4 linked regions of the Lepisosteus oculatus genome follow. The protein of the gene in region 3 interacts with the protein of the main gene of each other region in a pairwise test. Links are inferred from orthologs where the notes say so. Each region holds a gene or a part of one and is shown on either strand. Other genes may lie near its edges.

Region 1 (6,980 bases), on a different chromosome or scaffold from region 3:
CGTGTGAAAACGTGAAAGCCGAGACGCTCGTGGACCTGACGCGACGTGGCCTCAAAAGACTGCCATATAAACAGCACCCGTCAGGACAAACGCCCTCAGGCCAGGGCCGGAGGCTCCTGACCCATATGACATCGGCGTGGAAATACAAAAAGCAGGTGGACAGCTGGAGTGGAGAAGACGGCACCAGCTCCTCCCGTCGCTGGTGAAGACAGCGCACAGAATAGCAGCATGGCTTGGTTACAAGCTCACAGCACAAAGCTGTGATCACTGACATGCTTATTGTGTCGATGACAGCAAAGCATCTTTGACATATGGATAATTTGAGAAGCTTTGTGCAGATCTCAGAGAACAGCACTTGAGACTTGGCAATTTCTGTAAATACTGCTAAAGCAAATGCACTTTTAGTGGCTCATAAAAATAACATTTGCTTTAAGTCTTTACAGTTCCAGTGATTGTGTAAAAACCTGTTTCTATTGTTAATTATTTGTGCATTGCAAACCATTGTGCCACATTGAGCATCAGTACAGTACATTGTGAGCATCAAAAATACTGATAAATTTTATTGTTTGATATGTAAGCTATATACTGTATATAAGCTTTACCATATAACTTACATGTTAAATTAAGTTAGTAAGGCAAAAAATCCCATTGGTACATTATGATTTTAAGAAATGAAGGGAATTTAAGAATTTCTATGATATAGTTCAAGTGACTGATTAGAGATGCCCGAGAACAAACTAATTATTCAGCAATTAATCCCCCCCAACAATATCAGCAGCAAAAAGGCTATTTGTCTTGCATCAGTGCACAGACTGTATAGCAACCATAATCTAAGACCAATGCTGTTAAAACCAGTGACACGATACTATGAATGCAATTTTAAATGATACTACATTAAGGCAGCGTGCCAACATGATTACTACAGTGTCCTGTGCTACTGTCCTATCCTGTGCTTAAAGGTTAATACTTTTAAAGTGTGGCAACTCGGGGGGGTAGCGGCAAAATAAGTTGATTTGCTGTTTCTGGCATTCATTAACAGAGCTGCTAGTGCGAAATTATAATGCGATGCAATCCGATCACGTGATATAAACTGCTGAAAGGCTGCGATGAATCTACAGTACGTCATTGTTTTACAGTCGCTTTTAAATGAGAAACAAATACAAATTTCAAATAAGATTTCAGTTAAGGTGTGAAAAGTGTCAACACAGATTAAATCGTGGTGGGGGGGAGCAACCTGCAAATGCCTTTATTAAAATTTAGTTTACTTTTATAACTCCGAAAACGCATTACAATTTGGAAACGATCACCTAATTTCAACGCTTAAAAGAAAAAAAAAACTCCGGAAAGCAACTGAATATGCCTGAACAGACAGTAATGAACATCTAGCATATCCTTTGCAATTTTAATCATGAAATCAGGATTCATGGTTTTAAGGTGACGCGTTCCGTTTCCTCTGGCAAATTAAGTTTTTAAAAGCATTTCCTGTCAATCCACAAGGCTCGATACAAAATATAGTTCTCTGGGAATAAGCACGGTCTCTATTTATACACATAAATCTATCTATACACTATACACATAAACAGCGGAGTGTTCGACGATTACTGTGGAAGTGACCTACAGTCAGCTCAAACCTGACTGTATAAACACAATCGGGTTGATGAAAACCGGTTTATTACAACTCCCTCCGTCAATGTGCCACTGGAAACGACGCGGGCATGGCGAGATAATGACCTCTAATCAGCCTCCGATCAAAGTGCTTCACATGAATGCCACGGCCGAACTCTCCCGTTTCCCCGACGTGTATCGGACTTCAAAACCCCCCCGATCTCCAAGCGCCGATTGAAGACACCACCGCGAACAGCAGCCCCGACAATGAAGGCTTTTGATTGCGGTCCCAGTCATTTGCCTGGCGGAGACAATAACTACAGCGCAATGTAAAGCGGAACTCGGCGAAAAGCTGTCGCGTTGAAACCCAAACTCTTATTATTCGAGTATTTGTAAATAAATAAGTAAAAATAAATAATGCATGTCCAGCACCGCTCACTTGAAATAACACCGGGCCGTTAAATGCCTTTATTTTGCCTTCTTGTTTTTGCAACATTACATACTGTATGGCTTCAGCCTCCTCTATGTTTTTTTTTTCCTTTATAATGCGCCGGCTGGTGATTGACAAACGGCAGGCTACTGTATCCGTTTATATGATGATCCATTATAACAGTAAGCATGTAACAAAGGCAGCAGCCTATTTTTAAAAGGTAGCTGAAGGCGCACGGCGGGGGTGTGGGGGGGGAGATATCTAACCCACAAAGGTGAAATCTGGTTGAATCCCACCATCCAGAAAGGGATTCGCAGGCAGACGAGGACGCATCTGGGCTACCTTGTCCCTTACCTAGCGCCGGGTTATCCCAGGAAAATCGGCTTGCTTGCGTTTCGGGAGTCAAGGGGACCCAGCGCACTTGCGGCAAAGTGAGGTGAGGTCCATGCAAACTCGCGGTAGCGGGGACTGCAGTCCACTCCTCACGCCGGAGCCCGGGCGACAATCACACACCTGCTTCTCCCGGTGGCGTCGGTCCGACAGAGGCTCCTCCGAGACTGTGGGCGCAGGGAAACACACCCCCCACCGGATTTGGGATGCACTCGCTCCTCTCCTGCGGGGTGGACGGCGGTCCGCTAAAATTGCATTGCAGCAGTAACGCCGTCTCTTCACAGGGAGACAAAACACGGCTTGCAAGGTGCTTGGCAGAGCAGGAGATAACGCAGAGTCACGTTACTATTCTGCATCCTACATGCCAGTATAGGGTCCAGACGCTAGCTGCCGCCGGGTAGTCAGGGTGGCAGCACAGTAACAACATGCTCAGCGCCCGCGATCATCCGCCGTCGTGCTCCCCTCAGCCCTTGGTTTCCAGTGAATAAATTATTTTATTCCAGTATAAAAGGGGGGAATATTGCCACACCGCGCTCCCATAATAAGCAAGATGGCTGGTGCCTCCAGTGGCGCTGCGGACCTGCTCATTGGCTTCAATCGGGGGGGGGGGGGGTTCGTAGTCATGGAAACGACCAACAAGTTCAATTTGTGCCGTGGGCCTGGCTGAGCGTGTAGGGGGTCAACGCGGAGAATAGCGCAGAAACCCGGCGTTTTGTAACACTAAACACTTCCTTGTGCCGGCTTAGTTATTTTCTTCTAGTTTTGTGTAATGTAACAGACGTGATTCCGGGTAATTCATTACCCAGATAAGGTAGCTTGGTAGCTGCTGTTCGGGCAGTTCAAGCTGGGACGCTGTCTTGCGATAAGCTGTACCAATCAAGGGGGGTGTTTTACGCTTGGTACTTTTAATATGTGTGAAATGCTATAAAACATGAAATTAAAAAAAACTACACAAGGTTTCTTTCAGCATATACAATAGCAGTGCCCTTTTTTCAGGCATTAAAAAGTAATAATGCCCGGGGACGTCAAGAAAACGGGTTTTATTTTGGAACAAGTTTGTATACAGTTGTGTATTTTCAGCTTAATTTTGCCTGAGAGAACCACATATTTTTCATCAGAGCCTATTGCAACACCTGATTTCCATTTCATTTCATTGAAAGTGGATGAAATCGATAGGTCAATACTCGCATCATAGTGCTGATGAATTTGTAGGCAGTAGGGAGCTGCGTCAGCACGCACGGGCTGGGAAGAAACACGCTTAAAGTAAAAGAAAATATTTCGTTTATTGAACACTAAAATTCGTTTAGTCTTCCTAAACTGAAAAGATTGTACTAAAATAAATTATTGTTCTTCCTTCTACGGTAATGAATCGGAATTCATTGTTTTTTATAAAGCTATTACGGTACCACATGTACTGTACGCTGTAGATATAACCAGAGTATACATCTCAAATGTGTTTGTGACACATTTGTAGAGTGTAGAAGTATTTTGTATATACTGTACATACAGTAGTGCAAAATAGGTTGTGTAGAATTCAGCAGAATTCCTGAATACGCACAGCAATTGTGCAGCAAATATTTGTTTAGGACTGCTTTTAGTATGATAAGTTACAGATCTCTGAGTAACACCTCAAACAGATTCTAATGAATTATACTGGGGATGCTGGGGAACAAACAGTGTGCACTGGTACTAATGAAAGCCCCAGAAAAACTCTTGTGACAAAGAAGAGACAGTGCTTTTTCTTCCAAGTCTACCTTTCTCCTCAGTCCCCGGAACAAAACACAAATTCGTTCCATTATTGATAGGCAATGAAATGGCATGCCCTAAATAATCACAAAAAGACTCAGACATGTCCCTGCTGACCCCTAGCAGAAGGAGCTGCTCTGGCACCTTAATAAATAATGTACAGATCTGAAGGAATGAGTTCACTACCACTGTAACTCATGAATGACTTAACGTCTTTTCTCTCAATACACATCTAGAACTGGAGCACATACTGTACAGGTACAACATCTTTCAATGCTTTGACAATTTTGTCAGGGAGCGTACTGTAGCATGCACAGTGCAATGGCAGGGCTAGTATTTTCACTCTGCACTGATTGCAGTCAGCACATGATTTACTGATGTAATGCAATTAGTATGAAATTGTTAATGTTTCCTTGTTAATGTTTATATTGTTTTGTTTGTTTTTCAGTAAACTGCAATGTTCTTTTTTATCGTTAAAATAAAAAATGGTGAAATCTGTGCAATAAGCTTACCTGACATGATCTCAGACACTTTCAAAACGAGTCAGTGAAATACATTTGACTGACCCACCCTTCCTCAAATAAAAGAAAAGCCTTATGAAAAGCTGTTGGTTAAAAATAGCAAAGGTATGGCTTGGTGTAATCAATCGGCTTCACAGCGTTGTTATCCGTTTCTTTAAATAGAAATTGTTACAAAATCTATTTTCTTTTTTAAAATATTGTCAAGAAAACTTTGTTTGCCACATGATATATTTTTCACTGCCTTGCCCTTTGTCTTTGCAAAGTTCCCACCATTCACTTCTACAGCACAGATGAAGATTCCAGATTATCAAGCATGTGAGGTGACCTTTCTGGACTCTATTATTTTTCTCTGTGCTGTTGCTGTGCAATCTGAATTCGGAAACCTACTGCAATGATGAAGTGCCCTCTCAGGTTTGTTTTCTGCCCTGTTAACTGCGAATCTGCTCTCGGCAGGCATGTGGACCTTACACGAGACACTCAGGAATGTCAGCATGATGCTGGATATACTTAGGTGACTGGAGCATTCCCGGAGATCGACGTCCAGTGAAAATCTAGGACTCGACTGGCACCTCTCAATATGAACCATGTTGAATATGAGCCTCTTGTTGTTATTTTTGTAAGTCAATGCTGTTTGATGAGCCTAGGTCACAACAGCTTCTTTGCCTTTGCAGTGACCTGCTCCATAAAGAAGCCTGTGATTAGTACAACCGGCTAAAGATGAGGTCATGACTACAGTATATCTTTAATTATCTCATGTTCAACTATAAATACTGCCCAGCATCAGACTCCAGCAATTCGAACAGTACGTATTACAAGAAGTGATGTGATAAATGCTGCTAAAAAATAGCATTCTTATCTTTGACTTTCACATGCTCTTTACTTCCAAAAGGTTTAACATTCCAAGCATCTGATATTGTCACCTTATCTTAACATGTAGAACCAACTGCTTTCTTTCAAATGGAGTTAAAGCTATGTTGCCCCATAGTTTATGTTTCATTTTATTGCCTGATGAAATTATGTTCTAGTTTACTAAAGGGATTTACAATTTGGATTAACATTACCATATCGTTTTATTAGACCTTTCTTCACAGGGATTTACATTGCTTAACAACTACTGAATAATAGTAATTATTATTCAATTGTCAAGTTTCTGTCAATGTTTAGCAACTGGAATTAATTGCAGCACCTCTTTGTGTTGTGAAGTTGTGTACTACAATGGAGGTTTGTAGCTTGTGTCACATGAAGTGCCTAATGTTTTCTTAAACATTTAAAGAGGCTGATTTCAATTAAAGACTCTTATAATATGTGTGGCTACTTTCCCAGCAATTTACCAATTAATTGTGTTACCATTTAACAATTATCATATTACCATTGTGTTACCACGTAACAATTACCTCGTTACCATTGAGTTACCATCTCACAAGAGCAAGTTATTTGTTCTTTTACTCTGCTGTATATAGTGAGTGAGCTAGAGTGATTTTGATTTCTCAACTCAGAATAATTTCTATTCTGAATTCATACTCTCAGTTCCTGAGTATAAATTGTAATTCACAAACTGAATACAACTTGTTGTAAAAATGACTTGATTTAGTAAAAGTGAAATTAATAAAAGTTTGAAACGTATTTACTTAAAGCAAACAATCAATTTTTATTAAATTTAGTAAAAGTTAAAAATGTAGTAAAATATTTTTGCCTCAAATACCATAATTATTCACCCCCACACATTCACAAAAGACAGTGTAAAGAAAGTCACAAGTCCAGTCTTATCCTAAATTAAATAATCACAAGATTGGACACAGCAGGGTGTTGAGGGTCAAGTCTGAGAAATCCTGTGTTAGAAGAAAACCCAGTGTCCTAAACTTTCTCAAATAACACAGCCTGCACACTCTCTGATTACATGAATAAAGCCAGACCTTTGATCTTTAATCATAGGCAGACAACTCCAGTCCTCGAAGGCCAGAATCTAGCCAGTTTTCCAGTTCTCTTTACATTATTAACGGCTGAAGACCTTTGAAAAGTGTTAAACTGGTCCAATTAATCTAATGATCCGCTACATCAAGTCAATAAGAGCAGAAGTGGTAAGGAGACTTGCAGACACTGGAGTTGTTGAAACAGGGCTGCAAATGTTGGATAAAAAACCCAAAACGTCTTGAAAAATGTCCCATAGAATTCAAGATTAATGTCACGTGTATGCTCCCAAGAAATCTACAAAAGAAACTAGCGTTTATTAAGGTGCTTGTTTCCGCATTTGACACTTGAAAAATATCTGTGTCTAACATTCATCAATG
Region 2 (7,671 bases), on a different chromosome or scaffold from region 3:
TCTTTTCAGCATGGAATAAACCTTATCGCTATAGTATACTTTACGCTATAAATTGTTGCATTTTGTTGGGTTCTAATTGCTTCCCACACTGGGTGAAGAAAGTGGAAAGTCAAAAATACACTTTCCACTGCATAGCTCCTTCTAGTTCAGTCCCACCCATTTGATATTTCACTTTTTTTCTTTTTCTGCCTATCTGTAATAGTTGTGTTTGTCCATGTGATCACATTAGATTGAATTTGCCAGGAATCTCCCCTGATCTGAACTCTGTTTAGTGTTTTGCCTTGCTTGTGTGGTGTGAAAAATCAGAGGTCTCTGTCCCCTGTCCTAACCGGTACCTGTACACTGACAGATACTGTTGCTGCTGCCCCGACTGCTCCAGGGTGGGCCGTGGTCTTGGTGCCTTTTGTGATCCTGATGCAAGTGGGCTGGCTGTAGAGTGAGACTGCACAGGAGTCTGGTGGGTATTTGATGTGCACTCATTGATACTGCACCACTATATACAGTATAGGAAGGGTACAGAGTGGTGTCCATACAAGGATTTTATATGACGCTTACACACAGCAGTTTTTTAATGATTTTTCAGAACAGATCACTCCGAATAAATGAACTGCATTTTAATTTTGGAAAGAAGACCAGTCCAATTGAGAGATTGAAAGCAGATCCCTGGCACTGCAGGGCAGCTTGTCACTTCCTCACTGACAGCACTGTCAGAGAGCAGACATGATGCCACATGTACAGCTGAATGTAAATTGCAATTGTCACATGATCAGCTAGGTCTTTGCCATATTTTCATAAGAGGTCGTGCGCATTAAGCGCAATGAGCAGAGGCGGTTTAGTGCAACACATACGAAGAGCCAGTTACTGTGAAGCAAGACCCTTTTGAATCCCACATGTCCAGAAATGGTGATTTTGCTGTACTGTACACTGCTGGTTTTAGGGTCTGAAGGCAACATTGTTTTAAACCTTTGGCCGCCACATGCCAGTTACCGCTGTGATTCCTCCTGCTTAAAACCTCCAAAACCAGGAGGATGCAGTCTTCCAGGCTCATGGTCTGACTGTGCTCGCAGCACTTAGACTACAGTAACAGGGATGGGGTTAAAGGGGAACTGCAAGGCTGTTTTATACAGTATTTCAGTAAAGCACTGATGAGTTAATTTCATCACAATAAAAGTAAAATGTATAGAGTAACTTCTGAAGAGCATTGTAAACAAGCAAACTTGTGAATACATCTCTTCTAATCCAATAGAAATATCGCTCTCCATTGTAGACCAATACTACTAGTTAACTCCACATGCAGAACACATTGGAACACTCCGCAGTGAAATGTCTGCTGCACAACAACATGTCGCTCATACATAACATCACATTAGTCATTACGGAGACTGGTGAGCAGGAAGGACCACTTCACGTTGCAATTCATGGGCAATCAAATGCAAGTCGGCAACAACATGACAACTTGTAGTACTTTCACAAAGTTCATGCTTATTTCGAAATTTGTGATATTTTTCTACAACGTCAATGACGTTATTTTGTTACCAAGGTTTAATAACCGATCTGAGAATTAGGGATTGCAGTTCTCCTTTAAATATTCACTACTTAACACACTGCATGTGCAACAGAAAAGCATGGTAACTCTACTGTAGCATATACTGTACAGTTTTAGCCCCCATGCTGGTTTTTATAGTCCTCCTCACAATATGCTATAATCTTTGCATGTTGAGTACTGATGTGACGGTGTAGCCTAATCAGCTTTCCCATGCACTCACCCCAGGGTGGAGGGACAGTGTCTGCATGACAGATCATCTGTGCTGGACATTACTGGGACAAGATGAAGGACCCTCATTCTCTGCTTCATGCAATGGCTTTGGTTTGCATATGGATTTCTAGTAGTGCCTTGTATTCTTATTAGGCTATCCTGAACTCTGTAAAGTGCTAGTAGTTCAGGTGGGTAGCTGCGTCAGCATGCGTAGGCTGCAAAGGAACAAGTAATAGGTTTATTCCATGCTGAAAAAAAGAAGAAAGAGAACACAACGTTTCGGCCGTGGAGCCTTCTTCAGGTGTCACACCTTCACACCTGAAGAAGGCTCCACGGCCGAAACGTGGTGTTCTCTTTCTTCTTTTTTTCAGCATGGAATAAACCTATTACTTGTTCCTCTGTAAAGTGCTGGCAGTTTGCTCTTCATCACAGTTTTCCTCCTCACTGTGGAGGTGGGGATTTAGTTCATAACCTCAGGTGCTCAGATCTCAGATCTCAGGTGCTGTCCATCACGTGTGGGAGCTGGAGACAGGAAGCTTTCTAAACCCGGTCACCCCTGGAGTTGAACATTCACAGGCTACTGTGGCACAGTCTGTGCAACTCCAACCCACTTTGGCTGCAGACACTCACAGGAGTGCGCTCAGCGGATTAGTAATGAAAACTCACGAGAATTTATTTGGAAAATTTAAGATGTTACTTAAATTGCAGTAAGGCTTTGCCCCACAAAACAAAGCATTTTTCATCAGCATAAGACCAGCTGAAAGACTGCCAAATGGGCTGAATGGTTTGCAATTTTTCTTAAGCAAGCAGGCCAGTCAGCTGATCTGGTTAATTTACTTGCCCCACCAGACCCTCTAGCGTGCTATGGACAGTCCCTCACACATTTAAATCATATAACCTATATTTATAATATACATGTTTATTCTGAAAATACAGATTGTATACATAAACACCTCAGAAGAAAACATAATGAAACATCTTCAATCAGTGACAGTCTCACTGCTGTGCCTGTACCAGGCCAGGAGTGGGCGCCAGCACCAGGCTGGGCTGTGTGTCTTTGCAGTTTCTGTGTGGTTACAGGCTTGGACACACAGGTTGAGACAGGTCAGTGTAACAGCACAGGAGTCCATGGTCTTTGAGATCAGACTGGACCAGGACAGCAGACCAGGCTGAGCTCCCAGCTCCTGTGTGCTGGGTCACTGAATAGATGCTGTACTGTCACAGATAAGAAAGTACCATGAACATACAGTATGATGACTAATTATTTCATTTAATCTTAGTGCCTATATGTTATGTATATACACATCATGTATATACACATTATTAAATAAATACTATATCAGTCAAATAAGTAGCTCAACAATTGCATCATGAGTTTGTTATAGTAAGTACTTTAAGTAAAACTGTGATGACATTTGCATTAGCTGTACTGTTGCCCAGACCTGAGACACTGGGAGACAATACGTGGAAGCTGGCTAACCAGTCTGCTAAAAATAGTAAAAATAATGCTGTCCTAATTTCAGATGGACACACACACAAACATAATAACAAAAATAATGATGATGACAATGATGATGATGATGATGATGATGATGCCAAGCACATCTATCCAGGCAAGGTATGTATTGAGGGCTTGAGTTTCTAAGCTGGAGGGGGACACAGGCAGGAGTCTCAGGAGCAGGGGCTGTGACCCCTGAACACCAGCACTGCACTGCCTGGCACTGGCTGTGTGTTCTGTGCAAGAACTCCATCTGACCAGTCAGTCCATCAGCACCCCTCCGGCTGAACTCACTGAACAAACCTCCCTTCCCCGTGTCTCTGTTCTGGGCTGTGATTAGACCAGGATATGTTTACAACGCTATTATAACTCAGCATGGGTGTTTCTTGGTCTTTATTCTTTTCTTATATATTAGAATATAAAAACCTGGAACTTTAGATAATTTTATAAATTATTAGTAAACTGAGTTTCTGAGACGTGGAGGCTTCACAAACAGGTTTATTGACTCTTTATTGCTCTGCCTCTCCATGCACCCCCATCCTGTGGAGATGGGTTCTGTTCCGACCCACTCCAGTCATTTTATTGCATTTTAAGAATATCTGGATATTTTGGAAAGAGTGTTTTTCTTGTTTTGCCTGCTATGCCTGTAATAAACGCTGTGCATCTTACTGACAATAACATTACCGGCAACAATAAAATGGTCTGAAGAATGTTGGCTATTTTCTGTGACCCCTGGAAAGTTTCACATTTAGTTTTTTTTTCCTTGATAACGTACTGTAGGTTTAAGGATTAACAATTGTTACCACTCTTTCCTAGTTCTATACACCACCTTACATGATGAATCAATGTCTCTATGGTGCAACACAATAGTACTGGAAAAACAACAAACGTCTCCAACAAATAATATAGTAGAACAGTGTTATAGGAGATAAGATTTGTTTTACATGTTTTAGAAAGCAATTGCATATAGAATGAAAGATTTCCTGCTAGAGTTTCCATTACCCCTGGGGACACAGATAGGAGTAGTGTAAATTCATAATGGAGAGAGTGAGCCACACTCTCCGTAAAGTTCTTGGCATTTTTTGGAACCTACTTTTTTATAGAGGACGTCTAGGTTTTTTTTTAATTTGCTTAATCAATTCCATTCAAGCTGAATGCAGCAAACCCGTAAATCTCAATTTACAGACTTCAAAATACGCAAACTGTTCGCGTACACTCATACAAGCAACATTTGACTCTGTACAAAAGAGTTAAATATGAACACCGTGCGACCGGTATGCACTGCATTTTGGGAAGTGTAGTTCACATTGGGACCAACCCACTCGTAACTCGACCGTTCAGCAAATTTAAAAAACTACTATTACCGGCTCGGGTTGCGTTGCAGACAACTGCCGATTTTTTTTTTTGCACGACTTCCTGAGGTAGTGGAGGCCGGCGAGGCAAGGGGGCTGGATTATGAGGTTACAAAGGGAAATCTGTGAGACTCTCGCAGCTGGCTTTCTGGGGAGGCCGGGGAGTCTTGGCAGGAAGATATTCGCCGAGGGACACGTGTTTTCGTGTAGGCGCTTCTGCTGCGGGAGGAGAACCATGGCTGAAAATGCAAAGAAGCTGGCCGGCTATGCTGCCGTGGACAATCACGTGCAGGTAAAGACTATGAATGACTCCGGTAATACCTGTGCATTTCTTCTAATTGACAGATCGCTGCAGGAGGGACGTGCGCTGTGTTTTAATGAAGTGCACAGCACTTAGCAGAGCTACATACCCGAGGTTTAGCAGCGGCGCTCTTTGCACAGAGCTGTTGCACGGGGTGGTTGTGCAGGATTGATCACTGTATAATTAAATTAACCCCCCTCCTGAGTCACAAGACGTCGGCTCAGCTTGAGGGCTCAGAATTATATCTGCTGCATTGAACCTATTGTGCCTCGTCATGGTGAAGAAAGCTCGTTATTGGAGTCTCCCTCGTGTCAATAAAATTTCGTATGCTAGTTTTGTTCATATATTAAACTTCATGAGTAAGCTTCTTGATCACGTACAACCTGGTCTTCCGTTCCAAATTAGGTTTCAGTCTTTAACCCTCATTTAGCAGTTAACAACATGATTCCGTAGTTTAACAGGGTGATTAGCTTACCCTCCAGATGCCTGACCCGTAAAGTTGATCAGTGTACAGCAGCAGCAGGTTTCGCAACTATGCAGTGTTTGCAGAAAGCAAATACAGTTTTTTTTCCCTTCTGTTGCAGTGGGAGTTTGCAAAAAAAAAAGGCAGTATATTGTCTTTTAGCCCCGTACTTGTGTTTTGAAAGAGCACGTGTTCTGGCCCGCAGGAGCCCCTGGTCCGAGGGCAGGTGTCAGCTGAGCTGCAGACCCTGACGCAGCTGGGACTCTTCCCTGCGGTCAGCAGCAGCAGAATACACGCTCTCGTGCGCGCGGTACCTGGTTTTCGTCGAAACCTTGTAGCCGATTACTGCAGAGCTCGGTCATTTCTGCAAGCCGCCCAATGTCCTACCAATACTGCATTGCTGTTTTTGTCACAGGGATGCATTTTCAAGCGCAAGTCAAGTTACTTAATAGACGATTTTGGGGACCAAATGTCATGTTTGTGAATGTTATCACTGATCAGTAACATACTGCTACAAGAGAGAATCCATAAACTGTGCGTTTGCAATAAATACGGATAATATGCGTCATCCGAGTGGGAAAAGCGAGGTGTTGACAGATTCACTCTTCCAAAGGCCTGCATGGGAGCTCTGTTATCAGAGAGTGTCTCAGACTGGGTGTGAATTGGATGCTGTAAACACACTGTTGTGGGGCAACATTTGTGGTCAGTTTTACCCACAACAGTTCTTCCTGTTTTTGATTACTAGACATACAGACAGATGCAATGCAAGAGCCACTTAATGCAAATGTTAATAATAATAATAATAATAATAATAATAATAATAATAATAATAATTTTGGCATTTATATAGCATGTTTCATCTCAAAGTGCTTTACCTAGGAGGGGACCCTATTCATTCACCACTGAAGTGCATTGTTCCCAGTCACCAAAGAGGTTCCACCTACTGGTCCACCGACACCACTTACAGCAGCATTCATAGATCGTGAGCACCTAATCAACAAACAAGCTCGATGGGCCAAATGGCCTCTCCTCATTTAAAATCTGTATTTTCTTCATCTTTTTAACCTGATTTTCCGCAGAGGTCTCCTATCCCAGTACTGACCAGGCCAAGCCCTGCTGGGCTCCTGAGCCCTGGTGAGATGGGGCTGCAGCATAGTGTACAGTGGAGGTAGAAGGGGCTGTTGCAAAGGGGAAAAGGTTTTACAGCTCTGAATGTGAAAGGAAATGAATAAAGACAGCAGTTGCACGTAGTCACCTCCCCCCCTTGAAGAGTCGGCCCCTCTCTGTCGTGCCCAGTAGTTAGTGGTGCAGGTAGATGCTGCCCCCTGGAAGATCTTGTCTCCGAACTTTCTTCATCTGCAGCTGGACTGAGACAGGAAATCCAGCCGTGTGACTGAGATAGAAGTACAGGTGTGATTGTGAGACCCTGTGCAGGCCAGAGGAGACCTCTTCTTTAAACAGCTGCCGTCTGCTTGTCTGGAGCTCTGATGCAGTTAGTGAGCTGGTGTGTCCACACTTCAGGACATGCTTTAGATCAGAAAGGCACCAAGAGGAGCAAGAAGCACGTGACCTTTCCTCTTGTTGCTCTTAACCCTCAGAACAACCATGCTGTTGGTGTGGGCAGTGGCACCACTGTCGTCTACGCTGTGGACAGGCTGGGTGAGTGTCCCTCTCTCCTTTTTTCCTTCACCTCCTGGTACCTTCCCCCTGTTGTCTGAAGCAGGAAGATTCCAGCTGCACACACGTGGCTTGGAGCAGACGGTTCTTCTTCTTTGTCCTTTTCCTGGCTGGGCAGTAGTTAAATGCTGGTGTTGCTCAGTTCTGGTGGGAACCTGTAAGGGCCAGTCTCAGGATGCTGACAGATACTCTGCTTGTGTGTTTTCCAGCGGAAAGAGTGCGACAGGAGAAGCTGAACATCGTCTGTGTCCCAACATCCTTCCAGGTCAGTGTGTCGGCCTGCCCGTCATGAAGAGAGGGAGCGAGTTCAGCGAAAGTGTGAATTCCATAGTACCATAGTTGGAGAACCACTGCATTAGATAATTGCCTATGAAGTTAACAAGTTGTAAGTTTGTGCTCTGTGCAGCCTTGTGTGTAGATGGACCTGGATGCACCTGGAGATGGGGTTCCCCTAGCTCTGTCAACTCTTTTCTCTCTCCTGTTTTCAGGCCCGTCAGCTGATTCTACAGAATGGTTTGACCCTGACTGACCTTGACCGGCACCCTGAGGTACTTTTCACAGTGATGGGGGACAGCTGCACCACAGCAGGAACCAAAGAGAATCCTAAAACTCGTTTTAAAAGTT
Region 3 (7,305 bases):
TCTCATTATGCATATGTATATGAACCACAGAGTGGTGCTATGCTGTTCGACAAGGATTCTTTAAGGCTGTGTCAGGACAGCACACACACCTGGTACTCCTCCTCTAGACGGGACAGCAGCACAGCCTTCTCTACAGTCAGATGTCTGTCAATCAGCCCAAAAGACAACACCAGAGACTTGAGCTGCGCGATCACAAACTCTAGCCCTGAGGGACAAAGCACAAAGTTCAGACAGGGTGGACGGGCACAGGAATGATCACTTCCTGAACGGATTTAAAAACTACAATTACGCTTTCTCCCCAGCTACAGGAGTTTTAGACACGCACACGCAAATTATTGCAAGTGTTCTACCTTTTTTTAAAGAAAACAAGGATCTATGACAATGTGTACCTGCTTCTCATACTAAATGATTGCATGTAATTCGACCGACAGATGTTGGGTGTTTTCAGCGGTGACTGGTTTTACACAGACAGACTGTGGCAGCGCTCCCAGCCGTACCTATCAGAGCCCAAAAGTTGTAGGAGGCCAGGTGCTGTCGGAAAGTGGCCTTCGTCTCCTTAGGGATCAAAGGGCCCATAATGCTGGAGGAGGAGCCGATCACAACATTATACCTGTGAGGAAAACAATCAGTAACGAGCTCAGGTCTGTGGTGGTAATCAGGTGTCAGGACAGCACACATACACATATGAAAGGTGTCAGTGACACAGCTAATTGATGGACAGTTTTCAGAATACAACCACCGTCCTGTGAAGTCCTGCTGTATTCTAGTTTAAAAGGTGTCAAAATGATTGGCTAATCATTAGCAAATGATAAATTCCTGTAGGAGAATTCTGGAATGCTATCAAAGCTAGAAAACAATGTAGTTCTCCAGAAGCTGGGTTAAAGACCGCTGCTGTATCTGTTATGCAATTAAAACAAATCCACGGTTGCCTCATCAAAATCTAGTTATGTTTATTTCTATTCTAAAACTAGTTACAAACCTGCCCTGACCCTGCACTGTATGCTCTAATGTTCTTCACTCCTGAGCTCTGCAGCTCTTTCTAGACTTGCCTCTTTTCAATCCAGTCCAGTACGGGGTCCCACTCGTTGTTCTGCAGCTCCACCAGCCCTGGGGGCTCCTCCACCCTATAGCTGCCCGGAGGCAGAAAGAAACCAGTGAAACAACCATCACCCGCAGCTCAGGAGCCAGCCCCTGTCACAGGGATCTGAACACAAACACTAGGCAGCAAAGTAAGAGTCTGAAGTCTGCGCCAGATTGCTCCCTTGACACAGTAAAGCAAAACAACGGAAATGACCATGAACACAGACAGCTGGCAAAAGAGTGGTTTCAAGGGAAGAGGAAAGGGACCCTAATTACAGGCTCAGATAAATTTCTTCCACCCCAAGCCTGCCTTTTGACTGGCACAGCCTGTGCCCACCCCATGGTGCCGAGTGCCAGGGAAAGTGCGCAGCTCGGCCACTCCCGACTCACCAGACGGTGTCGGTCTCCAGGAACTTGAGCGCGGCTGTGATCACCTGCTCCTTGTTCCTCTGAGTGGGGTTGTCCAGAGCCGTGTTGCACAGTGTGGTCTGGGAGAGACAGAGCGGGGCCTGTTACCTCAGCCCTTCAACATCTCAAGAGAAACTTCCAGAGATTCGGGTTCCTGAATGCTGGAATATTGTCCTAATTAGAATTAAGAGTTTATTCCCTTTGGAATAAACCAGAATGGTTCCTTTCGGGGATTTCTTTGGCTTCCGATCATACAAAAGAACCCAGTGGAAACTAAATGAGTACACAAGTGGCTGATGGTTTTCTGACTCCAGAGGTTAATACGCAAATCCCGGCAGGCAGTGGCCACAGTGGGGGATACACCCTGGACAGGACTCTCAGGACACAGGCCCCACACGCTGCCCGCTGCGAGCTGAGGTTCCTACCAGGTGCATCGTGTAGAACTTGAGAGTGTCCTTCTGGGAATCCCACTCCGTCGCCACGGCAACTGCCAAGACTTCGCTGGGCACTGTGAACAACTTCCCTCCCGGGGTCTTCAGCTTCCCGCGGTCCAGGTTTATCTCAAACAGCCCACCTGCAGGCGCAGGAGACCGGGCGCTGAACAGCACGGCACATCACTCAGCCTGAGCCGATCCGGACCTCGTCTGCACATTCCTCACCACAGCGGAGCACTGAGACACTGTTTCACACACTTATCCACTTGCAGAACAATACAAAATACAAGACAAATACAGCTCTGCTGGAGACGGGCAAGATCAGCCAAACGGCTTGCTGTCGTTTCTTTCTTTCTTTTTTAGTTTTTATTGAATCGTCATAAATACAAAAAGGAGACACAATATTAAAACAAAACTGTTATCTGTTACAGTCTACCTCAGGAAAAAAACAGGATGTGTTTCATACCGCACCTTGTCCTTGTGAAATACTGACGTCCTGGTAGAACTTCTTCCTCCCTGTGGATACAAGCAAATACGAATATCTGATTGAACCGGGCAATTAAAAACAGAGAGAATGTATTTTCATGATCTAACCTAGAGACGTCACCATGGTTGTGTAAGAACGGAACACAAGAATACATTTGCCGCATTACGGGCATCCAGCTTGTTGTGCAATTACATCGGAATCAGCGATTGACTAACAAAGCGACACGAGTTCCCACACGCCGGGCAGAACCCGGCTCTTACCCGGGGTCGCAGTAGAGTATGCCGGCGAGCTTGCAGCGACACAGCCGCACGGTGACTGGACAGCGGTGCCGCCTCTCCTGCACAACCGGGCCAGACCCCGCAACATCTCTCTGACAGATTCTTCTTATTTCGGGAATCACGACCTCAAATCGATTTCATGCGCTTTTGCAGGGTAACCAAAGCATTAAAGCATGTCATAGGGACTTATGACACTTGATTAAATTATGCATTATCACACTGCATTATCGAATCCTAGTTACCCGGCAATCAATACACATATATTTTAATGGTGTTTTTGGACGTGTTCCCCTTTAAAGAATCGCATTCCCAGGGTCAGTCATAACCTGCTCAACCGCATGGGCGCCGCCATGTCAGTGACCTCAAGCGCGTCACTGCTCCTCGGACACGCTCTCCAATGGCCGCTGGGAAACCTGAGGAACGGGGCGGAAACAGTCCGAAGGTCACTGAGGTGGGTTATGGGAGGTGGAGTTCGACTGCGGGAGAACGGAGGAAAAACTACAGATCGGGGCTAGAAGACCTACAAGTCCCAAAATGCATTTCAGAAGGCCATCCAATGAGCGGCGGTTTCTTTGCCAGGTGCGCTCCCCTGGCCAATAGGCTGGCGGGATGTTGCTGCGTGGTGCTGCGTTGAGGTCCCTACTGTTTGCTGGGACCCTGGTAGCGCATCTCTCGGCGGCTGGGGAGAATTCGTGAGTCGGTGAGCCGCCTCGACAGTTCTCCCCCTGTCCCCTTTTTGTTACCGTCTCTGTGGCGTACGTCGGCCATAGCTGGGGCGACCTTCAGACGTGATAAACATGCCGGTCCGGACCGAGTGCTGCAGTACCGCCTGTGCGGCCTTTATAGCCTCGGCCTCGCTTATCCCGCCTCCCCCAATCAACACGCAGCAGCCGGGTGTCGCCACCTCGCTCCTGTACAGCGGCTCCAAGTTCCGCGGACACCAGAAGAGCAAAGGGAATTCGTACGATGTCGAGGTTGTTTTGCAGGTAAGTAAGAAACGAAGAGTATTTATACCGGAGCCTAGTGTCATCGACTAACATACAATCTGGCCAGTAAAACGACGTAATATTATCATAGACGTATTAATATCACTGGGGAGGTGATTAACTAAAAACTTGTAGACGCGTTTCTCAGTTGAGATCAATCTCACATTAAGTTGTGTTGAAATCGTTCTTATCCCTGTGGTGTTATCGAGGTGGATTGTGGTGTTTTTGTTTTCAATCTTTCACTGTTTCAGTTTTATTGAGAACTTCTTCTTAGCTCGAACAGCCCCAGTAAAAAGTCGACTGTAGCAATTTCTAACCTCCTAGGACTGTGTTGTTTGACTTAAAATAATTTATAAGTGTTAAATACAACAATATTGGAGGTTCTAAGGCTTATGCTTTTCAGGTTAGGCTTGGTACCAAAAGCACAACAGTCACTGAAGACATCCAGATCCTCAGTTGCCCTCTTCATAGTCGTCACAGCAGCCAGACCTGCGCTGTAAATGACGTGATCCTTGTCACATACAAAGTGTACCTCGGACTGTGAGAGTTTTATAGGAGGTTAAAATGAACTCTGTGAAACTGGTCCAGCAAAGGTGCTTGTATTTTGCCCGGCAATGATGTGGCATTTCAGTCACATTACCTACTTGAACTACTTTAATAATAGCTGCGTCAGCTCAGCATGCGTAGGCTGCAAAGGAACAGGTAAAGGTTTATTCCATGCTGAAGAGGAAGAAAAGAAACACAACGTTTCGGCTGTGCAGCCTTTTTCAGGTGTCACCCGAAGAAGGCTCCACGGCCGAAACATTGTTTCTTTTCTTCGGTTTTCAGCGGGGAATAAACCTTTACCTGTTTGCATTATTATTATTAAAGCTCACCATTCCTCTACAACATGCGCACATGATATTGCAACACATCAATTTGTGAAATGTGTGCTGCTGAAGGTAAATTATACACTTTTCTTCTTGTGCAGTCACTCTCAGAGGAAGGGTTTTTAGTGTCGGAAGCTGGGTTAATTAAAATTGTCTCAAGTGTCACACTTGGCTTAGAAAAACTGGATTTTTAGCCTCAATTACAAAGTAGGTCTGCAGAAGCAGCAGGGGCTGCAGTGAGGGCCTGTCATTCCTTGCCTCACTAGGTATGTAGGTTCTGAGCACCAGTAATTAGACTCCGATGGAAGTTGGAACTGTTGGAGCCCCGATGATTCACATTGAAACAGTGTTTGACTCATGCTTCAAATATTTAAAAACAATGCCGCTGTTTAGTCAGGTAGTTCAAATCTGAGACCGTGTTGTAATGCTCCGAACTGGCTGTCATGACGATATTGTCATTTTTTGCCTTGACAGCACGTTACGATGGAAGACTCGTACTTGTGCGGGTACCTTAAGATCAAAGGACTGACAGAGGTGAGATTCAGACAGCTGTGGCTCACGGGAGTGTTGTGGTGTTCAGTTTGAAGGGAGATTTACACCTGCCGAGCTGGTACCTTCACGTTTCTGCTTCCTTTGTTGTCGCTTGTGCCAGTTCTCTGGTTTTCTCTTTTTCACAGTTGATAAGTATTTCTGGCGGGTTAAGGTTGCATTTCTGCGTCATCTGGAACTTGCAGCCTTGGTTATATTTATTCAGTAGCAGCAGTTGTTCTCATTCAGACTTCTGCCATACAGGGTTTTACTCAGATCTGATTGATGTGCAGTTCCTTTCACTGGGGCTCCATTTTTACGGTGACTTTTTTTGCTGTTAAACATACCTCACCTGTCGGTGGGGTGGTTCAGAGGAAGAGCTGCTGTTCCAGGAGGGGCTGTGTTCTGTGAGCATCAGTAGCCCATAGAGGAGAGTATTGGCTGCTATATGAGGGGTGCTGGTATTAAGATCGAGGTGAAGTTTTGGAAGGCTAAATGAATATGGACTTGGCTGATCCATTACTGGGGCAATATCCAGTGTGCTGAACTAATATTTGGAAGTTGGTTGGGAGATTCTGAGTTCAGCTATTAGTGGATTGTTGCTTTATAAGATGCCCCTTCATCACAAAACAAATTGTTTAAGCATATTTGTAGCTAAACCCCATTGCTCATTGACAACCCGTCTTTGACCTGAAAGACATAAGACAACAGCTGTTTCTTTTTTCCCCATCAGTTGTCTTTTTTACTTTTATTTTTCCTCACAGGAGTACCCAACACTTACTACATTCTTCGCTGGAGAAATCATCAGCAAGAAACGCCCCTTTTTAACACGGAAATGGGATGCAGACGAAGATGTTGATCGCAAACATTGGGTATAAACAAAGATCCCCTGCTCAAATCAATTTAGAGTCTTAGTTCTGTATCAAGTCCAGTACAGCTGAGTTTTGTGATAAATGTAAATGACTGGTTCACTAATTAGATTTTTTGACAAATAGATGAACTACTGTAGTGTGCTGCACAAGCAAACCTGCATGCAAAATACCACATTTCTCACTTTCAATAAATATAATTTTAACTTGTGCAGCTTGCTGGGAACAATGTTGTATTTTTTTTTTCAAAACTATTTTTTCTCTCTCCTCAGGGCAAGTTCCAAGCTTTTTATCAGTATGCAAAAACATTTAACTCTGATGATTTTGATTATGAAGAGCTGAAAAACAGTGACTATGTCTTCATGAGGTGGAAGGTGAGACCGTTTATTTAAAGTTGTTTCTTTGGGATTGTTTTTTATTATAAGTTATTTGCTTTGGAAAAGCAGTAGCATTTTCCTTTTAGTTTTCAAGTAGTTTTCAAGCAGTAAAGATAGAATAAAAAGCTGAAACCAAGCAGGATGTCTTCTCAAACATTTGAGCTATGCCGATTGCAAAACTGAATTTAGTTTTTAAATACAAAATGTACTTCAAGTAAGGTTTTTTGTGACCAGGTTAGGATTTTTCGGTCAGAAATGAAAGAATGTGTTGCTGTTCTCAAACATGTATAAGTATTGTTGCAGGGATAATAATCAGAAGGTACTGTTTCCGATGCACTGATCTGCCTCCTTATTGATAATTCAGAAGAAATGGTTTACTGTTGTACGGTCCACACAATATGATGGGATTTGTAAACTCTGTCACCTGGGAATGACAACTTGGAAGGTCTTTCAGAGTTGCAAAGACATGTGCAGTTTTCCTTCCCTGTGTCCAGTGCTCTTAATTCTCTTATTATCTGTTCTCACCCTCCCACAGGAGCAGTTTTTAGTCCCAGATCACACAATCAAGGACATCAGTGGTGCTTCCTTTGCAGGGTTTTATTACATCTGCTTTCAGAAATCCACAGCTACCATTGAGGGCTATTACTATCACAGAAGTTCAGAATGGTAGGAATGAAACCTGACGTTTTTCTCCGTCACGTTCACATTGTCGTTTACGAGCGAGACCTCTCCGTAAAGTATTCTTAACTTGCTTCTGAGTTGGTTGTTTTAAAAGGGTGTTGTGATAGTGAACTGAATTTGCTGTTCAGATGACATTCTGGGAAAAGAAACATTAAAGAAAGCAGTGGACTTTGATTTTCCCTGCGAAGAACATGCAGGATTGCAGTAACCTCAGTCAGTGCTTACTCTTCTGCCAGGTACTGTGTAGATTTTAGTGCATCTAATTTCTCAGATGGTTTTGTGGGAGTGGTATGTCCACATGTCGCTGT
Region 4 (7,776 bases), on a different chromosome or scaffold from region 3:
AAGTTTTATTGAAGTGGAGTGTCCTGCTTGGGAACACTCCAGCTGTGGCACCATTCTATGTGGCCATGAAGATCACTGTACTTATTCCGGGATCACATGGATGCATTCAGTTTTGTTTTCGGAAGGATGGATGCAACTGCCTGTGTGTAGATCCTGTTTGTTGGGTATGGTAACTTTGTAACCCTGATATTCTGACAGGCCTGGACAAACGAAGAGGAGATCTCCTATCTTGCAGTATATTATTACTCTATGGAACACTGCACTACATTCTGAGAAATTCAATAATAATCCTTCTTAAAAAGAAGTCAGATCTTTGAGATTATCAGGGAATCTTGGAGAAGAATCACACAAGACACCTTTCTATTACCGTTTTTTACCTTTGTCACAGGTAACTGTGACTGTTAAAGGGGAACTGTAAAGCTAGTTTTATATTTTGGAGTCAGAAAGAATCCACATTGATGAATGTATTCAAACCACAATAAATGTATTATGTACTCAGTAACTTGTAAAGCCTTCGATTTACATCACATAAAAGCTCTGCGATTCAGAATGACGCAACGGTAACGCATTCCAGCCATACGACACTGTAAGATTACTTTATTGGCCATATACAATTTCTTGTATTAGGAATTTGTAAACAAACGGACTTGTGAATACATCTCTTTTAATACAATAAAAATTTCTGTACTCACCTTTGAGAGTTTTGCTTACCAAATACTAATTACTTGCTAACCCTGCATGCAGATCATGTTGGAACCTGTACCTGTACTTATTTGCTTGTACATCACATTAAATTAGTCATGACGGAGACTAGGGAGCAGGAAGGGCCGCACCATATCACAATCCTTGGAAACTCAAATGCAAGTTTGCAACACCCTGGTGATTTACAGCAGTTTACAAAATTCATGATTTTGTGCTTAATTCGAAATTTGTAAACTTTTTTTGATCGCCAACCGTCAATTAATTTATTCTTTTACCAAGATTTAATAACTTGTCTGAGAAACTGGGACTGCGGTTCCCCTTTAAAAGACAACTCATAAGTAATTTTATTGAAATGCCTCCAACCTTCCTCCTCACTCCTTCAGTACTGTGTGTACAGTGCAGTTTGTTCAGTCAGGGTTGCGTACCTGGCAGATCTCGGTCCTCACATGTCACCGGTGTGTTTGTGAAAAGCGTTGGTTTTGTCAATCGCATCACTGCAAGAGAACAGGCATTATCAGATTAACTTGCGAGTGATCTGTCACCTTTATTAATGGTGCTTCTCTGAAAGCCTGGTCTAGTATCACACCTAAGAGAATGGAATGCACATGGGAACAACTTTAGAACAATTAAGAGATGCAACTCTTCCAATTAATTTGCTTTATGTCTGTATTATTTTGACCACTGTACCATGAAATAATTTTGAATTATGCCAATGCACATTCTTTATGTTCTCTCTAATACTCTTAAGAGTTCACAGCTGTTTCTGTAGAGAGGAGACAAGTCTTTAATGACATGCCAAATGCAGCATGTCTCTGACCAACACAGTAATTTCAGTGTTTCACCACACACCCGTTTGGAGACCGGTGATGCCATAGTGAAATGTTCTGCTGTTTTTCCCTTTTGTTTTATTCAATATTAAGCTTAAGGTTGCAGACACTAGTGGACACAAATATCCAAATCTGTTTTTCCGGCTTAAGTGGAAGAGGCAACCTTGTACAAACTTCAGCTAAACTGTCTCTTTAATACAAAATTCTCTCACACACAATAATAAAACATGGTGAAGCTCTCACGTAGCTCTCTCTCTATATATATTCCTTCTTCTTGAAATATCAATTGTAATCACTGGCATTGAAATATTCAGTTCACAAAGATTCCCATTTTTTCCCCATTGTTTCATATTCAGAAAGTGCAAAAGACCCAACTCTGTCATGCTGCTTTTCAATTGTATGGAATTTCTCTTGATACATTTTTACTTTGTATTAATACAGGACATTGGGTGGCATTTAGAGATGAGTTTATTTTTTCAAGTCTAACAAAAAAATAATTACAATAAATAGGTGAAAAACATCTATTGTGTTAGAAATCAGTTCATAGTATTAAAAATTTTTCATTCATTTTCCATCAAGACTACATGCTAAAAATGGTTCCATGTTTATGAACTACTAAATTAATTTCACCGGTTAAGTTCAACTGTTGTTTCATAAACTTTCCGATATATTCACTATACAAAATATCACAGAAAACCCAAATCTGCCCCACATCTCGTTGAAAATTTGCGTTGCAAGAAGGAAGTTTGGAATGTCTCACTGCCCTGCTCAGGACAGTCCAAACCCATTCCATGTCTTTTCTGAGGCAGTTCGATTCCTCAATTATCCACTTGGCCCTCTGCAGTGAGTGGATCTGGAGGCCTTCCAATATTTCCTGGAGCTGTCTGGAGAAAGGCAGAACTTCCTGAAGTCTCCCAGGAAGAGAAACACTCCATGACCTTCTAAACCCTCCTCCTTCTTTCGAAACACTTGCTGCGGAGTTTGGCGAACCTGTGCGCAGAGACAGCGCCCTCTCCTTGCCCCTTTGAGCTCTCGCCCTCTTAAAACCCGTGCAGAACTCCAGCAGGTCTTCTGTGCAGTCATAGCTTTGAGAAGTCGCCAAAGGAGCTGAAGAGCTCAGCTGACACCTGATTTGTTCCACCTCCTCTGGCGAGATAACTGGTGGGCGCGTTGTGGGTTTCAGCGGTAGCTTGCTGGCATCATCTGGGAACCAGGGTACAAATCTTGGCAAAGGAGCACAGGGAAAATCTTCCAATGCCCTTTCGGCTATTTCCAACACATCATGTAGGTTACCTTGACGATTCTTGTAATGCAAGACTACATCCATACTATCACTAGCTCTTCCACGGAACGCAATTACCGAACTTGGTTTCGGTGTTTCTTTAACTGACGATCCTTATGGATTTCAAGGACACCAAGAAATCTGTCACATTGGTCGGTTTCCAGTTTCCAGTGCGGGGCAGCTGAGAATACCTGAAGCGGAATTATGGTGAAGGTGTGAAAAGATCAGGTAACAATCACAGTAAAGCAGCCGAAGCCTCCATCCTTGAGTCACCGCGAATGACCAGCTCCCTAACAACTTACGCATCAAATCATATATCCCGTTAACAGCTAACTGCGCATCACCTGCAAAAAAATGAAAAGTCATCCCTCTCGTCCTTTTTTTTATAATGAAGAATTTGTTCCACATATACTATGTCTGACCCATAGTATCATTAACGCAGAGGGCATATTTATTTTAGATTTGACTTAAAACAATGTTTGGCGTTTAGAAAAAAAAACTTCTCGGGACTTTGTACGACTCTAACCATGCGAGACACATTAGTCCATTAGACTTTCGGACAATACACATATATTTTCAGAGACATAAGACTTGACATCAAACAAGGCAAAATATTATAAACTCATACATGGTTGTTTTAAATAAAGGCAATTGTCTTGGCTATCTGTTTACGGACGGAAAACCGATTGCGGATTTATGTTGGGGCCGTAATAAAGTTCTAGTCAAATTAACCATAATAATTAAACTCACTCCTTGGACGCATAAAAATATAGATCATACAATTGTTTGTTTCAATGTCAATAAAAAAACCCGAAAATATTACCTTTTAAAGCCAGCAAATGCTCTTGTTTGGCCTGGTTGACATCCATCTTCCCTGTCTGCGTGAACCTGTGAACCTTCACCTGCATTGCAGAATAGTGTACGGAGAGCAAATAGGAACAAACAGTGCGGACGCGTTTCTTTTTCCTTTTTTTTTAATTGGGGTTTTAGTGTCTCCCGGCGGAGCTTCATTAACACGCACACAGGGTACTGGGGTTCACGACGTCAGCAAATTCTGTGCCCTTATGAAAAAGAGAACAAACTCTCATTTAATGTTAATATAGAAGCATGTAATTAGCAAAAATAATTGAAGGAATCGTTATCGCCTTTCATTTAGAGATAATGCACTGTTTCATGCATGGAATCAAGTTACACGTTTGGAAACAAAAAACTACAAAGGTATTAGCTTTTCATAACTTTTTTCCATGTTGTATACATACTGTATATTAATGACTTAACAGCTGTTTACCATGCTCATGGTGAATGCAAAGGGACCTTATCACCATAGACCGTATTAAAATTGACTGGCTAGATGGAGTTTGATATAGTTGAAGTGGTCTTGAAATTGGAATTTAACATTAGAACATCCAAGCTACAAAAAAGTGCAATATCATTATATAAGGATTACAATGGCTCATTGTACACATGGCAATTGAGAATGTAAAAGTGACGTTAAAGAGAGCAAATAAAATCATATAAGAAAATTCAAATTGTTTAATGGGAAAATGTATTCTGAATTCAAACGAAAAAAGTGTGTGCACCATAAAGTGTATATTTATTTTTTTCACTGTGACACTTTCACCCTTCTTTTGCATTATTACTGCATCAAAACTTACTTCTTAACACATTACTCGAAAATTGGCTCTTAAACATAAGGGAGAAATAAAATACAGTATTTTCCGGCTGAAAATAATTAAAATGCTTAAGAAAAAACACATAAACTCGACTAAAAAAATCTTAAAATTCTTTCAAAGTCAAAGATTCCGCCTTCAAAGCCTCCTCTTCTGCTACACAAAAACTTCCTTCACCGAACCTCTTCAACGCGCAATCGCACCTGCAGCTTTCTGGAAGCTGACGGAAACAGCTGACAGGAACGTCCATTTTGCTTATTCGGGGGAAGGTGGAAGTTTTAAATAGGAACTCGGTTGTTACTTTACACACATATGTCGAGGAGATTAAAAAGACTGCTTTTAGAACTATAATTTGAGTTTTTATTTTCCTATTACAGTGCATATAAGCATTTTTATCTCGATGCCATTCTGCCTACGTGCAATCGGACCCACCTAGGAGCGGCTGGGCTGGTGGTAGAGCCCGAGGATGGCTGCTGCTGTAGGTGTAAACAAGCAGGCATCTGCAGCGGCAATGGAGAGCTGTGTTCGACACGGCCGGGCGGCTGCAGGAGGCACGGTGAAGGTGAGTGAAGCCGATGCTCAAAACGGTCAGTGACCGAAAAAGAAAACCTATTGCGACGCCCGCAGAGAGGGGTGCATTGCCGGTGACCGTGGTTGACAGTGTTGGCGAGAGAGAGCGAGTTGGGCGGTCGCTGCTGTCGTGGCTCGGATGCTGTGTTGCTAATGTAGCTGCACCAGCTTCTTTGGTGCTGATGACAGCCTCTGAAAATGCGATGTTCCCATTGTCTTTTACGTAACCCTTTAACTCAGTTTGCACACTGCAGTTTAATTCAGAAAAATATATTAATCATGCGTTATTTGTTATGTAAGTGCAGTATGACCAAGATCTCATGACAAGGGACTTGCAATTTGTGTGGCACAGAAACGCCTGTGTTGCAAAGAGGAAAGCGTTCTTTGGCTTGCTTAGACTTGTAACTAAGTCTGGAAATTTCCAGCGGGTTTAGAGCAGGCTTGCTCGCCTGCGTTGGCGTACGCATCAAAGAAAAGGCTGTACTTGAATACAATTGCATGTTTCAAAATATAGACAAATTGCACTTCCTGTGCGCATGTAAATCATTGTTTTTGTTTGTGGTTATACTTAAGATCACATATTTGACCGAGACGTAGTCACTTAAAAATTGAGTTTTGTGTATCGCACACACTTCATTGGCCAGTTTTCTTATTACTTCAATATTGCATAAAAATGTTAATAACCCTGATTTTAAGTCTATGCGTGCAGATGGCTAAATTAATTGTTTTTATTTTTGGTAACTGCATCCATTATTTTGTGTCTCTAATGTTATTATCATTAATTCAGATGTCTGATATCAATTGTGCAGCTTTCTTTTTAGTAGCAACAGAAGAATCTTGCTTACCCACAAACAAGCAATATATCGATACCGACATTACATAAAAATAAATTTACAGTTATCTAGATCTAAAATAGGGAAAGTCTGACTGAATACTGTAATCTAGTAAAGTTGTAAAATTTGTGAATGAATGACCCAACCACACTGGGATGAAGTTAATTTTCATGGTCTAATTTTTTTATGTTTGCAGAAATTAAACCTGCTCCTTGAGCATGACCATGTAAAGATGCATTTGCATGGCGTTTCTGGCAGAAATAGCATAGAGACAAATACTTTGAGCAGTAAATAAGGAATTGCAAACATCTCCTTCAGAACTCGTTTTGCTCGCAATTTGATTAAATCCAAGTTGCTTTACTCTAACGGACTGTTCTCAAATATGCTAATGTTAATATATTTCGTCAGCTACAGTATAATAATACTGCTCATTCTTGTGCAATACATAAAATGAAAAGGGTTGTATTGAGCCATCAGTTTTTTGCCTAATGTTTTTGAATTTCCAGGTAGCATTAAACCTCAAAATGTCCCAGACTTGAATGCATGTAGAGAGTATCCCCGTGCTGGACATTTCCTCTGTGTTTGTCCCCTTGTCTCCTCTCTTTGCCTGCCTGTAAAAGCTTTCAAACATTTGCACAAGAATTCTGCTCAGTGAAAAAAAAACTGTTAAAAATAGTTTTTTCCCCCTCATCTAGTAATAAAATGCCTTTGTGAATTGATTTTGTGTTCAGTCATCTTTGCTCCTCCATAGGTGTATTACTGGAAACCTTCAATATATTACACTCATACAGTATGTTTCCCATTCTTGTACCTCACTATATTTCGTGACTTCTTTAAGACACCATTCTTTTACCCTCATTCTCTATGATAAGACACCAAATGTTTTAATAGGAGACTATTCTATTACTTTTCCGTGTAATTTAAACAGATGTAATGAACAGTTAAGAAACTGCATTTTAAGAGTTGGGGGTGAAAAGAACAAAAATTTAACATTCAGGTAAAATATTAAATAGTTTTAAAACTTAGTTTAAAGCCTCACTAAAATTAGAGTCAAATTCCTATTATGTATGATAAGACCGCTTCAATATGAGTATGGTGAACATCCTATAAAACAATTTGTACTTAGTGTAAAACAACGTGAGCTTCCAGCTTCTAAGGTCATTACACACCTCTATACTGTACCTCATGCTCCTGCACAGACCTGGTTAAGTTCGACAGCTGAAAAATTTGGGCTTTTGGATACTCCTAAAGCTTTGCTGGAGCTGAAGTCAGTCTCAATCTATGTAGAAGCAGAATTCTCCTGGCCTTGATGACATTCCATCTCGGCTAGTGCAGGCTGTGTTTGATCATGTTAGTCCAGTAATATTCAATTCTAGACATCTTTCATGGAAAAACTCTTATCTCATTTTCAGATATTATTTCTATTTTTCCTAATAAAGATAAAGGTCCACAAAACTGTTCAAGCAATAAGCCACATCACTTGCTGGATTCTGACTTTTTTTTTGGCAAAAAGATCTTTTTAAGTGAAAAAAGAGGCATGCATGTGTGGCTTTGTGGGAGGTTGGTCCCATGCCACTGATGCCCAGACTGCTCCTACTTGATGATAGTTCCTGCACATCAACATCTTGATTCTTTTCTGCAGCTATAAAATCTGCCTTCCAGGACTGAGTGGAGAGCAGCATTGCTTTTAAATCATAGAGAGTTTTGTTCATTTGTAGATATACTTCTTGAAAGTGTCCAAATAGCCATTATCCTTCTTGAAAATAATTAAATGACATTGCTGAGCTCCAAGAGCTCAAATCTTGGCCCAGACAAAGGCTTTTTATAATTTACACAATATATTCAATCTGCCCCTTTCTTTTTTCTTTTTTTTCTGTTTTTTTTTTTTAGTT

The links.
Region 1: the proteins of atpaf2 (region 3) and sorbin and SH3 domain-containing protein 2 interact in binary tests that used the Homo sapiens proteins (3 or more experiments, as listed by UniProt). The two-hybrid records come from large-scale screens. The link is inferred for Lepisosteus oculatus from reciprocal best matches to the Homo sapiens genes ATPAF2 and SORBS2.
Region 2: the proteins of atpaf2 (region 3) and rpia interact in binary tests that used the Homo sapiens proteins (3 or more experiments, as listed by UniProt). The two-hybrid records come from large-scale screens. The link is inferred for Lepisosteus oculatus from reciprocal best matches to the Homo sapiens genes ATPAF2 and RPIA.
Region 4: the proteins of atpaf2 (region 3) and trim23 interact in binary tests that used the Homo sapiens proteins (3 or more experiments, as listed by UniProt). The two-hybrid records come from large-scale screens. The link is inferred for Lepisosteus oculatus from reciprocal best matches to the Homo sapiens genes ATPAF2 and TRIM23.

The regions. Positions count from the first base shown.
Region 1 is NC_090696.1:75,801,837-75,808,816, forward strand, and holds the start of sorbin and SH3 domain-containing protein 2, read right to left. Parts: upstream 3,006-6,980; 5' UTR 2,549-3,005; exon of another isoform or gene 2,390-2,548; intron 1-2,389. UniProt on the Homo sapiens protein: Adapter protein that plays a role in the assembling of signaling complexes, being a link between ABL kinases and actin cytoskeleton. Can form complex with ABL1 and CBL, thus promoting ubiquitination and degradation of ABL1.
Region 2 is NC_090696.1:29,001,159-29,008,829, reverse strand, and holds the start of rpia (ribose-5-phosphate isomerase), read left to right. Parts: upstream 1-4,653; 5' UTR 4,654-4,709; coding exon 4,710-4,898; intron 4,899-6,968; coding exon 6,969-7,029; intron 7,030-7,256; coding exon 7,257-7,312; intron 7,313-7,535; coding exon 7,536-7,595; intron 7,596-7,671. UniProt on the Homo sapiens protein: Catalyzes the reversible conversion of ribose-5-phosphate to ribulose 5-phosphate and participates in the first step of the non-oxidative branch of the pentose phosphate pathway.
Region 3 is NC_090714.1:17,606,409-17,613,713, forward strand, and holds the start of atpaf2 (ATP synthase mitochondrial F1 complex assembly factor 2), read right to left. Parts: upstream 3,012-7,305; 5' UTR 2,776-3,011; coding exon 2,670-2,775; intron 2,439-2,669; coding exon 2,394-2,438; intron 2,063-2,393; coding exon 1,914-2,062; intron 1,569-1,913; coding exon 1,471-1,568; intron 1,131-1,470; coding exon 1,050-1,130; intron 611-1,049; coding exon 498-610; intron 206-497; coding exon 90-205; intron 1-89. Other genes in the region: gid4 (glucose-induced degradation protein 4 homolog), read left to right, coding at 3,485-3,673, 5,017-5,076, 5,835-5,942, 6,212-6,313, 6,852-6,982. UniProt on the Homo sapiens protein: Plays a role in the assembly of the F1 component of the mitochondrial ATP synthase (ATPase).
Region 4 is NC_090698.1:27,875,573-27,883,348, reverse strand, and holds the start of trim23 (E3 ubiquitin-protein ligase TRIM23), read left to right. Parts: upstream 1-4,758; 5' UTR 4,759-4,947; coding exon 4,948-5,043; intron 5,044-7,776. Other genes in the region: trappc13 (trafficking protein particle complex subunit 13), read right to left, coding at 1,128-1,196, 3,635-3,719.